3 linked regions of the Arabidopsis thaliana genome follow. The protein of the gene in region 1 interacts with the protein of each later gene in a pairwise test. Each region holds a gene or a part of one and is shown in the gene's direction. Other genes may lie near its edges.

Region 1 (4,286 bases):
TTAGCACTATCATCATCACTCATCATCGATTCATCATCTTCTTCAAATTATATACTCACGATATGTATAATATTATTATTCATAAGAATACTCATCATAAATAGCTTTAGAAAACCACATTCATTTAACCTATTTTAGAAAGTTAAAAATATTTGATCCTTTCAAACTTTCCCACTGTATATACTCCCATATTCAACCAGCTGTGTGTAGGGTTTATCAGTTGTACATTTAAAAACAAACAAATAATCTACTCATAAATATATAAAATTTCATAAAAAAAGAATTTGTTGTAACACATTGATTCTCCTTGAAAGGTTTGTGTCGGCTGTTCCAATCTATGACAAAACCGAAACTCAACCAAAAACAAAAAAAAACATTAAAGAATAAAAGAAATAAACGAAATATACAGAAATTGAAATAAGAATAACATTTATTAAGATGGACACAAAGCCGTTAGCTTCGTTCCGTTAAGGAACGTCTCTACGAAACAAATTGGCGTCCAAGTCTTTCGTTTTTGGCCACTTTCACCAACTTCGCGTCCGACACAGCTACCTTATTTATTTCATTTTTCATCATCTTCTTTCGAATTCTACTTTTTCTATTATTTATTACACAACCTCCTTAGATCCTTTGGGACATGGAATCGACCCATCATAACTTTTCTTTTCATTTTATTGTTTTGCGTATAAATACATTTTCTTCATGTAGGTCAAATGAATCACTTGATTATTTAAGAAAATATGTTTATTTGTTAGTCAACTAATTGGATTTTTTCGTTCCAAGTAAGGAAATTGGGTAGTCACCAACTGGTTGTTAAGGTCCTTTAATCCCTCAATTAAGCAATTGAGCAGACACAACACTTCTTCCTCAAAGCAACATTTCTGGCAAATCAAAATTCTCTAGGCCTAGGGATACTTTAGTAATTTTAATTACTTTATATTCAATATATTGATTTGTTGACAATTCTACTTATATCTTTATTTTTAATATGTAAATAATAGGAAGATATTGAAAAAATGGAGTTAATTAGTTTCCTCTTTTGCACGTCACTTAATAAGAGTATGTGTGTCCAATGTATTACGCGAAGAAACAAGTATATAACGTATAAACAGTAGGAGACCTCAAAAGATGTTTAATTTTAATTTTGATCACAATCTTTTTAGAGAGTTCCGTCGTTATAATAATTTAACAATTATACATCAAAACATCATAGATTAGTTATGAAGTATCATGTCACGTAACACATGTTTCTCGTTCGCTTATAACCAGGGATCTGCAATTATGTAAAGAAATTAATAAAAGCATCTGTTGGTTCAGACTAACCCATGATTTTATCATCACAACCACAACTAATTTGAGATTGCTTGAGTTAATTTAATCTAACAAAGCTTTGGTGGAAAATTTTAATAGTAAAAAATTTCAACGGTTGCTTGAATTTATGTCCAAGCTATTAATTAAACTTTATAAAAACATAGAATACGAAAACTCAACTCTTTTCTTCATTTTAAAAAACATACTTTATTTTTAATTATATTTATTTGAATATAAGCACCAAGTCAAGTCAATGACAACACTGCACAGTATTCCTTCTGGTTCCAATAATATTCTTTTGTTTTATCAGATAACTTGAAATATAAATGCATATAAAAAGTCGCATTTGTATAAATATTCTCCATTATCTAACAATAATCCTATCAGAGAAAAGGAAAAAAAATATGAAAATTTCCGCTCACGCGTGTTATTCTCTAAATGGTTGGCACAGAAAAAAAACCAACAAAAAATTATTAATTTTAATATAGAAGCTTCGGTTGGAATAGAAAAACAAACAAAAAAGAATTACTGGTAGAGAATAGAGATTGTCAAATTTCTCCATAGGTTAGTGATACACTGATATTTTATTAAACATTAATTAAAAAATCTGGGTTTGTTGTCGAGGTTCCAATGATAAGATGGTTTGGTTCTGTTCTTTGTTAGTGAATGCCAAATAAAGTTTTAAAATAGTATCGGAATTTAATAAAAATCGTCTCTTGGGATTGGGTGTCTTCTCTTTCTTTCTCTCTCTTTTTGTCATCGACTGTTCGAAGTTCTTCTTCTTCTCCCTTTTTATCTCTCTGTTCCCTGATTCAGCCACATCCACAATCTCTCTTTCTCTTTTGTATAGTTTATCATCTAGCTCTTTCTCAGGTTTCATTTCTTTAACTATAATAATTCGATTGTTCTTATTAGTAGCTTCTTGATTCAAAGCTATATGATTGACTTGTTGTACTCTGTTTCTCTTTTTACAAAAAGATTTCCTTTTTCGAATTTTATCATCATCTTCGTCTCTGTTAAATTCTTACAAAAGTATGAAATCATCAGAACTTAAAAAAAATTAACTTTATATCTTTCATGATTTCAAACATCATCCTCTGTTTTTGTTTGCGTCACTGAATTGAAGTGGAAACTTTACCTAGGGTTTTGATATCTTCTTGACCTAAATTGAGTATTTCATATTTTTTTCATTTCTTGAATTCATCTGTAATTGCGGCGTATATAGAGATTAAGATGTTTTAACCTCTTTAAAGAATTGTTCTTTTATTTATCCAGTTTCAGTTTCAAACTCACACGTCTCTCTCTCTCTCTTTCTCTTTTTTCAGACAAAACATCAATCGGATGAAACTCACTTAAACAACAAAACACTTTCGATTTATTATCCAATGGCTGTGTATTACCCTAATAGTGTCGGCATGCAATCTCTTTACCAAGAATCCATTTACCTCAACGAACAACAACAACAACAACAACAAGCTTCTTCTTCCTCTGCTGCATCTTTCTCCGAGATTGTTTCCGGTGATGTTCGAAACAACGAGATGGTATTTATCCCACCAACAAGCGACGTAGCCGTCAACGGAAACGTAACGGTGTCAAGTAACGATCTAAGCTTTCACGGTGGAGGACTTTCTTTAAGTCTTGGTAATCAGATCCAGTCAGCTGTCTCTGTTTCTCCGTTTCAGTATCATTACCAGAATCTTTCGAACCAATTGAGTTACAATAATCTTAATCCTTCTACTATGTCTGATGAGAATGGGAAGAGCTTGAGTGTTCATCAGCATCACTCTGATCAAATTTTACCTTCCTCTGTTTACAACAACAATGGTAATAATGGTGTTGGATTCTACAACAATTACCGTTACGAGACATCAGGGTTTGTGAGTAGTGTACTGAGATCTCGTTACCTTAAACCAACACAACAATTGCTTGATGAAGTTGTTAGTGTAAGGAAAGATTTGAAATTGGGGAATAAGAAGATGAAGAATGATAAAGGTCAAGACTTTCACAATGGGTCTAGTGATAACATTACAGAAGATGATAAATCTCAATCGCAGGAGTTGTCTCCTTCAGAACGTCAGGAGCTACAGAGCAAGAAGAGCAAGCTTTTAACAATGGTGGATGAGGTAAGACTAAATCAAATTTGAATACTTTAAAGTGAGAGAGAGACTTTGGAGTTTTGAGTTTTGAAAACATTTTTGCAGGTAGATAAAAGGTATAACCAATACCATCATCAAATGGAAGCTTTAGCATCGTCTTTCGAGATGGTAACAGGTCTTGGAGCAGCTAAGCCTTACACATCCGTAGCTCTGAATAGAATCTCTCGCCATTTCCGCTGTTTACGCGACGCGATAAAAGAACAGATTCAGGTGATCAGAGGGAAGCTTGGGGAGAGAGAGACTTCTGATGAACAAGGAGAGAGGATACCGCGTCTTAGGTACTTAGATCAACGGTTGAGACAACAGAGAGCTTTGCATCAACAACTTGGAATGGTTAGACCAGCTTGGAGACCACAAAGAGGCTTACCTGAAAACTCTGTCTCTATACTTCGAGCTTGGCTCTTTGAGCATTTCCTTCATCCGTAAGTTTGTTGTTTGTAAGACACTTTCTTTCTGCTCCTCATTGCTTCATTGATAACCATTTCAATCGTTTTTGTAGATATCCTAAAGAATCAGAGAAAATCATGCTTTCAAAGCAGACAGGACTATCGAAAAACCAGGTTCTTATTGGCTCAATCTTTGGTCTTGCTTTTATATGAGTGGTATTCTGATTCTTGGCAATTTAGGTTGCAAATTGGTTTATTAACGCGAGAGTTCGACTATGGAAACCAATGATTGAAGAGATGTATAAAGAAGAGTTTGGAGAATCAGCAGAGTTACTCTCTAACTCTAATCAAGACACCAAAAAAATGCAGGAAACATCTCAGCTCAAACACGAAGACTCTTCGTCTTCGCAACAACAGAATCAGGGAAACAACA
Region 2 (4,286 bases), on another chromosome or scaffold:
TTCTTCGTGAAACTCTTCATTTGTTTTATATTGGAAACAGAGTCTCTCTTATGAATCAAAGCGACAAACTTTGAGAAGGCAGGCGAAAATCTCGGATGGGTTCCATCGCTCTGCAATCTTGGAGCAGAGGAGCTTCAACTTCTCTTCATCTCCTTTTTCGTCCAGGTAGGTAAGTGCGATTCCTAACTTGATATGATCATATATATGAGAATTCGACAAAGATTTTTGGTTGAAATTTGCTTACTTGATGATCAGTTGGCTCGAACCCTAAGCTATATGATGCTCGAAGAGTACAAGTAAGATTCTTTAATGTTGCCGCTTCTTGGTCCGAACAGATGATCTCTTATACTATAGTCTGTTTATTTTGTCTTTTGGGTTTTAAGTTTGATGTAAGAGCCTCTTCAAGTCGTAAATCACTTAAGAAACTCAAAAGAGAGTCACAACAAGGTAAAGACATAGGCTTAAGAAATGTTACAGATGAAGAAGTTTCTTCTCCAAGATTTGAGGAAGCTCAAGTTGATTCTTCAACTTCAAAGGACTCCATTGATGTTTTTGTTGCTGCTCCTCGAGACAAAGTGCTTCAGGCTTGCACTGTAACTTCCGGTTTGATGGCTGCACTAGGTCTGATCATCAGAAAGGTGAATCCCAAATCTGAAAGTTTATGATTTTGTGATTCTAGCATTTGTATCTTGCTGATTTGGTTACCGCTTGCAGGCGTCTCATGTTGCTTCGACTGAAGGATTACTGGTTCCAGACTGCTCTATAGATGTACCATGTAACATCTCGGAAAACGATTATGTTGTGTACTAAGAATCCTTTGAGAGATTCAGTAACCAAAACATGTTTTGTATTGCATGATCTTTCTTGCAGTTGGGTTTGAAACTTGGCATCTCGGTTTAATTGCTGGAATCGTTGTGTTTATATCGTCAAGTAGGTTCTTGCTACTTAAATCTTGGCCAGATTTTGCTGATTCTAGTGAAGCAGCAAACCGACAGGTCAAAACATTACACATTATATACATTTATACGATTCTTTAAACTCCGCTTATTGTCTCCTTTGGTATTCACTACTTGCAGATTCTCACTTCCCTCGAACCTCTAGATTACCTTGTTGTTGCAATGTTACCGGGAATAAGTGAGGTAACAATAAACAATCACAATAAAACACAGAAAGGCTCTCCTTTAGAAAATGTCGTTCATTGGTTTGATTTGGTGTATTCACAGGAGCTGCTGTTTAGAGGTGCATTAATGCCTTTGTTCGGAACTAATTGGAATGGTATTGTAGCGGTTGGCCTCATTTTCGGTTTACTTCATCTCGGGAGCGGAAGAAAGTATTCTTTTGCAGTTTGGTAAGCCGTTTTTACTGAACATTTTGGTACCTCAATGCTGATGAGAATTGCGTAGACCGAATCTTGATATTAGATGATTGCCTTTAACATGTTCTTGCATCTCTCTATCACATTTCCGAGGTTTTCCTATTGAATTCTTTGCGGTTTCTTGAAATTTTCAGGGCTTCGATTGTCGGTATAGTCTACGGTTATGCAGCTGTTTTGTCGTCGAGTCTTATCGTTCCAATGGCCTCGCACGCACTCAACAATTTGGTGGGAGGTCTGTTGTGGCGATATAGTTCCAAGATCAAGTCATTGGAGTGAAATAAACAAAATTTACAACAGGGTTGAATTAAAAAAGTATACAATTTTAATGGGTGGGTTTGTGAAATCTCTCAATAGTATAGGGTGGTTATGTCAAAAATCTATAATAGAGGGTGGTTATTGTAATTTTAATGTACCAACTTGTCACAAAGGACAAGTATGAAAAATCTATAATTATAGAAGTGAAAAGTGAAAAACCAATCAGAATTGTTACCGGAAAAAGGAAGTGTCTTCTGGTCAAAAAAGTCAGAGAAGAAGAGAGAAACGTGAACAATGAAGAGACAGAGACGTCTCTTCTCTTATGCGAAAGTGTGAATCTTTTAAAGCTTTTTGTTTCAACATCGATAAATGAAGTTTCTTTTATTGAATTTATAGAAATTTGCACACTTTACCTTGACATTAAAGCAACAAGCTTTGAAACCAAATAAAATCTCAAAAACCCAGAAAGCGAGTGGAGAAGAGAGAGCTGATATGCTACAATAGAAATGGCGAGTGGATGTGCTCTACATGGTGGTTGTCCCAGCGATTACGTCGCCGTCGCAATTTCAGTCATCTGCTTCTTCGTGTATGTGTTCGAGCTTAAAAATCCCATTTTTGGGTTTTAGTTTTGAAGATCTAGATTTTTCATTTACTGGGTTTGCTTGTTGACTCTTGACTTGAGTCAAAATCTCGAATTTTGTGTCTTTAATCGTTTAAAATTTTCATACGATGTCTCTCTTTGCTATTTTAACTCTTTGTATTGTAAGTGTTTGATGTTATGTATCAAAAGATCTGTCTTTTGTTTCGTTTCAGTTTCTTTTAGCTGGGAATTAGATGGTTTCAGTATCTTGATAGCAAGATTCATATATTATGTCGGAATCGATTATTGAACTTAGATTTGAAGTTCAAAAGCTTGATTTAATGGACTAATTGAGTGGATTTGTATCATGAGTTAACTTCCAAGTAGTTCAATTTCTCTATTAAGTTGATTCTATCTGATGGATTTCACTTTGTTTATTTAGGCTGTTATCGCGCTCAGTGTTACCGTGTTTGATTCATAAGGCTCCTCGTACTAACAGTAGCAGTTTCTGGATCCCTGTTATTCAAGTTATCTCCAGCTTCAACCTTCTCTTCTCAATTATGGTTAGACTACTTGACTTGATGATTCCGTTGCTCTTAAGAATCACTTCATTTGTTGAGTTTCTACACTAATAGACTGTTTTATATTTAATTTTCAGATGTCAGTTAATTTGCTTCGATTCAGGACGAAACATTGGTGGCGATATTGCTATCTTTGGGCAGGTTTGTTTGGAAACCATGATTCCTCATCTTCGTAAACAAATTGACAGTTATATCAATAAGTCTTGTATAATTTGGTTTCAGTGTGGATTGAAGGACCACTTGGGTTTGGTTTGTTGATGAGCTGCCGTATAACTCAGGCATTTCAACTATACTTCATATTTGTCAAGTGAGGTTCAATGTTGATCAAAATGTTTTTGGATTCCAATTCTATCTCTATTGGTGTAATTGAGTTTAATGCTGTTTGGTTGTTACATATTCTTTGCAATGTAGGAAACGTCTACCTCCGGTAAAATCATACATTTTCCTCCCCCTTGTTTTGTTGCCATGGATCTTCGGAGCTGCAAGTAAGAATTGTTCTGAACGTTATATGTACTGAGCAGTTCTTGGTTTCTCTTGTTTTGGATAATAATAACTCAAAGCTTTTGATTTTGCATTTAGTTATCCACGCAACAAAGCCTCTCAACGATAAATGCCACATGGGTCTTCAATGGACTTTCCCAGTTGCAGGCCTTCATGCTCTCTATGTCCTTGCTTTAATTGCATTCACAAGAGCAGTTCGACATGTAGAGTTTCGTTTTGACGAGCTTAGAGATCTCTGGAAAGGAATTCTCGTCTCAGCCACTTCAATCGTTATATGGGTAACAGCGTTTGTGTTGAATGAGATTCATGAAGAAATCTCTTGGCTTCAGGTTGCTTCAAGATTTGTGCTTTTAGTCACGGTATGAAAGCTAATACCAGGACTGTTCTTTATATTTGCAGTTGGAATACCTTTTTAACAGACTTCTGAGTTGATTCTTCTTTCAGGGTGGGATTCTCGTCGTTGTCTTCTTTTCCATCTCGAGTAACCAACCTCTTCTTTCACAAATCAGCTTGAAGAAAAGACAAAACTTTGAGTTTCAAAGAATGGGTCAAGCTCTAGGCATTCCCGATAGCGGATTATTATTTCGGAAGGAGGAGTTTCGACCTGTTGACCCAAACGAGCCACTCGATAAGCTTCTTCTCAATAAAAGATTTCGCCATTCGTTTATGGAATTTGCTGATAGGTACTCCATTCAATACCTGACCTCATATATATCCCGGTTTCACCATTTATTTAAACTAATTCGTTATATGCTGGTAGCTGCTACGCTGGAGAAACATTGCATTTTTTTGAAGAGGTGTATGAACATGGTAAAATCCCGGAAGATGATTCGATAAGAAGAATCTACATGGCTCGACATATCATGGAGAAGTTCATCGTCGCAGGTTAATTACATATCCATCTTCCCTCTTCTTTATAGACCTGTCTCGTGTGTTCTCTCTATAAATCTAACTAGTAATTCCTTAAAACACAGGAGCGGAAATGGAATTGAAC
Region 3 (4,286 bases), about 19 Mb from region 1:
ACCTCCATATGTTTACAGCTCGCCACCGCCTCCTCCATATGTATATAAGTCTCCTCCACCACCTCCTTATGTCTATACTTCACCACCACCTCCTCCATATGTTTACAAGTCTCCTCCACCACCTCCATACGTCGATAGCTACTCACCACCACCGGCTCCATATGTTTATAAGCCTCCTCCATATGTTTACAAGCCTCCTCCATATGTCTATAACTACTCTCCACCGCCAGCTCCATATGTTTACAAACCTCCCCCATATGTCTATAGCTACTCTCCACCGCCGGCTCCATATGTTTACAAGCCTCCTCCATATGTCTATAGCTACTCTCCACCGCCGGCTCCATATGTTTACAAGCCTCCTCCATATGTCTATAGTTCGCCATCACCACCGCCTTACTATAGCTCTCCCTCTCCACCACTATACTAACCATTTACATACATGATGAAGCGAGACTCAAAGTAAGAGTGTATTTAATAAGTGTATCCACACGGTTTAAAAGCTTTCCCTTTCGAGACGTTGTCATTATAAGAAATGGAATTATGTGTGTACTTAAATATCTATGTGCATTTTCGCTTTGGCTTTTTGCTTTTGATGTTGTTTTTCCTTTGAAAAGACCAATGTTTTGTCTTCCATTTATAACTGTTGAATAAATTCAATATTTTTTAGACGATCGGGTAAATATATTGAACAAACGTTGTAGTAAAGATCATATGGAAGTTTCAAGAGTCAGTAGCTCAACCGTTTATATCTAAGAACATTTAAAGTTAGCGGTATGATGGATTTGAATACCGACTGTAATAAAACTAGTTTAAATTGTTATATATGGCCGAAATTTATATGGAAACTGAAACTTGAAAGCTTTAGTATATCTTAGTTTCTATCTTAATTAGTACATGTATTGTAAAGGTCAATACGAGGATTGATTGATTCATTTCAACAAGAATATAAAGCGAAAATTTCCTAATTATATATTTTAATATATGTATAGACTTAGTCTAGGGGCATGCAATTAACATTTTTGATCCGGCATGGATGGTTCTCAAATTGGTATTCTAAGTTGATCATCCTTAAATGGATATTAAAATATTTTCAAAGTCACGAATTCGAACACCAACGCCAAAATATGACTGAAAAACATTATAAATTTATCATAGCTTAGTTTCCATACAAGACAATAGATCCATAATTTTTGTTTAACTAGAAAATGTTATAAAAAAAAAACAAAGGTATGGGAGAAAAAAAAACACATCCAAAACCACTGTTTAGGTGGGCTTGTCTTCAGGACGGGCACCACAACTCACCAGTTTTGAGAATCACACGACCTAAAATCACACACAAAAATCTAGGAAGAAATGATAAAAGTAAAAGGTGTGGGTTGAATATTCTTAAAATATTTATTTAGGTCTTTAGCAATTGAAAGTCCCAAGGCCAACTAATTATGTCCTCGGCCCTCGTGCTCACCGGACCGTCCAGCAGCTCCCTCCTTCACTTTTGCATAATAGTTTAACAATTTAAGTGGTGTCAAAAAAAAAAACGATTACAGCTTGATATTGGGTTGATAGGTAAATCGTGATAAAACATACAACATTTTTCTAAGCACATATTAAGTTGATCTAATCTAAAATGATTCTTTTACTTTCATAGGAGCTAGCTCGACAATTACACGAGTTGTGCTATCTTTGGATGGGCATGCATGTAAATTACTCTTTTAGAATTCCAAAATTTGGACCTATGACACTACTCACTAGCCAAAAATCTCTAAGAATTGAGATTAATGTCTTCATTTTTTATTTGAGACGTTAATTTCATCGGATTTGTTAGGCTTCTTTTGTATGAAATCCTTAGTTTTGCATTTGACCATTTCTCAAAACACCCTAACATTTTTAATGTTCAGATCATGGCTGTGTTTAATGTTTATGTTTAATGATCATAAGCTCTGTTTTTAATGCAAGCGTGGGTATATGAATTCAGGAACTTTTTTTTTTTCATTCTTCTTAAACTCGTTTTTAACTCTCCATCTCTAAAAAGACCATCAACGCTCTTCTCTTTATTGCAGCAGAAACAGAACCCAGTTCAATAAAGCTTTTTGGTAAGAAAATTTGAAAGGAAAAGATATTTGAAAACTCGTAGAGAGAAAGTGGCACAGAATCTGAAATTCTGACACTTTTTACCACGAATAATGATTCTCTTTTGAAAAACATGACTCAATGTTTTCTTTATCTTTTTCTCTGAATTAAGGTTTGTTTGTACTTAAAGTATGCTCCTTTATCTACCGTTGACTGATTCTACTCTTTTATTCTCAACTTTTCTCTGATTTGCTCGTGTGTTTACTTCAATTCCTCAGTTCTTGTGTAGAAAGTTGAGTTTCATGTGATCAAAATTGGGGCTTTACTACTTTTAAGAGAATGAGTGACAAAGACGAGTTTGCCGCAAAGAAGAAGGATTTGGTCAATACGCCAGTGGATTTGTATCCTCCGGAGAATCCAATGTTGGGTCCTTCTCCGATGATGGATTCATTCAGAGAAACTCTTTGGCATGATGGTGGTTTCAATGTCCACACAGATGCAGACACTTCCTTTAGAGGTAATAATAATATTGATATACCTCTTGAAATGGGTTGGAATATGGCTCAGTTCCCTGCAGATTCAGGATTCATTGAGCGTGCTGCAAAGTTTTCTTTTTTTGGATGTGGTGAAATGATGATGAACCAACAACAATCATCTCTTGGAGTTCCAGATTCAACTGGCTTGTTTCTTCAAGATACACAGATTCCTAGTGGATCCAAACTAGATAATGGTCCTCTTACTGATGCATCTAAGTTAGTGAAAGAGAGATCGATTAATAATGTATCAGAGGATTCTCAATCTAGTGGAGGTAATGGTCATGATGATGCTAAGTGTGGGCAAACATCTTCCAAGGGGTTTAGTAGTAAGAAGAGGAAAAGAATTGGGAAGGTATAGAGATTTGTAGCACTCCTTTTGTATTTTGTGTTTTTTGGTCTTTCGTTGATAATATTTCTGTTGGTAGGATTGTGAAGAAGAAGAAGATAAAAAGCAAAAGGATGAGCAAAGTCCAACTTCAAATGCGAACAAGACAAACAGTGAGAAGCAACCTTCTGATTCTTTAAAGGATGGGTATATTCACATGAGGGCACGAAGAGGCCAGGCTACTAATAGTCACAGTCTTGCTGAAAGAGTAGGAACAATATTTTTTTGAAGTTGAATAGAAAGCAAATTTCTTTTGTTGTTGTATTTGAATTTGGTTAAACTTGTTATCGTAGGTAAGAAGAGAAAAAATCAGTGAAAGGATGAAGTTCTTGCAAGATCTTGTGCCAGGTTGCGACAAGGTAAGTCCTTTTCTTTTTAGATGTTGATGTCTACATGTAGAAGAATGGAAGCTGAAGCTGTTTTCTTTTCATATAAATGGGACATTGCATTTATTGTGTAGGTGACTGGTAAGGCAGTTATGCTCGATGAAATCATTAACTATGTGCAATCACTTCAATGCCAAATCGAGGTTTCCCTTTGTTTGCTTTGGGAATTTCCTATTTTCTTAGTGTCTGTTCTTGAGACTTCATTTAATTAGCAACCTCACTTTGTGTTAGTTACTTCTTCCATGCATTTCAGTTTTTATCGATGAAACTTTCGGCTGTGAATCCTGTGCTCGATTTTAACCTCGAAAGCCTCCTTGCAAAAGATGTAACATATGTTGAAACCCTTCTCTTTCTTATCATTTGACGAGTAACTTCATTGATATGATGTTGATGTCTTCTATATATTCATGCAGGCTCTTCAATCATCTGCACCGACATTTCCCCACAACATGTCGATGCTTTATCCTCCTGTATCGTATCTCTCTCAAACAGGATTCATGCAACCGAACATTTCCTCAATGTCGCTATTGAGTGGAGGATTAAAACGGCAGGTACATATATTTGGTTGCGCATTGTACTCCAACAATAAACATATCTTTGCAGAATCATTTCTTTCTCTTGCATTCATCTAATATTGTTAGTGAGTTTTGAACAGGAAACACATGGATATGAAAGTGATCACCACAATCTTGTCCACATGAACCATGAAACCGGCACTGCACCTGATCATGAAGATACAACAGGTGAAAGTAAAAGCCCTATAAGTTTCATACTTTTGTAACCAGATACTTGAAACTCGCTAAAGCTTTTCATGTTTATCTGATCTTACAGCTGACATGAAGGTGGAGCCGTAGATGTTTCTTCTTCACTTTGTACTCAGCTTTAGCTGCTGATATAGTGCGCCGCGGTCGA

The links.
Region 2: the proteins of BLH3 (region 1) and RGS1 interact in a two-hybrid assay, tested with the Arabidopsis thaliana proteins (one large-scale study listed by BioGRID).
Region 3: the proteins of BLH3 (region 1) and CIB5 interact in a two-hybrid assay, tested with the Arabidopsis thaliana proteins (one large-scale study listed by BioGRID).

The regions. Positions count from the first base shown.
Region 1 is NC_003070.9:28,300,301-28,304,586, reverse strand, and holds the start of BLH3 (BEL1-like homeodomain 3), read left to right. Parts: upstream 1-1,858; 5' UTR 1,859-2,184; exon of another isoform or gene 2,185-2,636; 5' UTR 2,637-2,696; coding exon 2,697-3,434; intron 3,435-3,512; coding exon 3,513-3,889; intron 3,890-3,966; coding exon 3,967-4,027; coding exon of another isoform or gene 4,028-4,066; exon of another isoform or gene 4,067-4,093; coding exon 4,094-4,286. UniProt on the Arabidopsis thaliana protein: Transcription factor that is responsive of the nuclear import of SHOOT MERISTEMLESS (STM).
Region 2 is NC_003074.8:9,530,747-9,535,032, forward strand, and holds the start of RGS1 (REGULATOR OF G-PROTEIN SIGNALING 1), read left to right. Parts: upstream 1-1,866; 5' UTR 1,867-2,136; coding exon 2,137-2,216; intron 2,217-2,652; coding exon 2,653-2,773; intron 2,774-2,868; coding exon 2,869-2,932; intron 2,933-3,013; coding exon 3,014-3,098; intron 3,099-3,202; coding exon 3,203-3,276; intron 3,277-3,370; coding exon 3,371-3,651; intron 3,652-3,736; coding exon 3,737-3,975; intron 3,976-4,052; coding exon 4,053-4,177; intron 4,178-4,266; coding exon 4,267-4,286. Other genes in the region: AT3G26085 (CAAX amino terminal protease family protein), read left to right, coding at 96-165, 256-638, 715-775, 871-995, 1,077-1,139, 1,224-1,348, 1,510-1,651.
Region 3 is NC_003070.9:9,084,808-9,089,093, forward strand, and holds the start of CIB5 (cryptochrome-interacting basic-helix-loop-helix 5), read left to right. Parts: upstream 1-1,996; 5' UTR 1,997-2,406; coding exon 2,407-2,955; intron 2,956-3,028; coding exon 3,029-3,196; intron 3,197-3,281; coding exon 3,282-3,347; intron 3,348-3,448; coding exon 3,449-3,517; intron 3,518-3,627; coding exon 3,628-3,699; intron 3,700-3,787; coding exon 3,788-3,925; intron 3,926-4,029; coding exon 4,030-4,117; coding exon of another isoform or gene 4,118-4,155; exon of another isoform or gene 4,156-4,205; coding exon 4,206-4,228; 3' UTR 4,229-4,286. Other genes in the region: AT1G26250 (Proline-rich extensin-like family protein), read left to right, coding at 1-427; AT1G26255 (uncharacterized protein), read right to left, coding at 1-259, 314-431. UniProt on the Arabidopsis thaliana protein: Transcriptional activator involved in cell elongation. Regulates the expression of a subset of genes involved in cell expansion by binding to the G-box motif.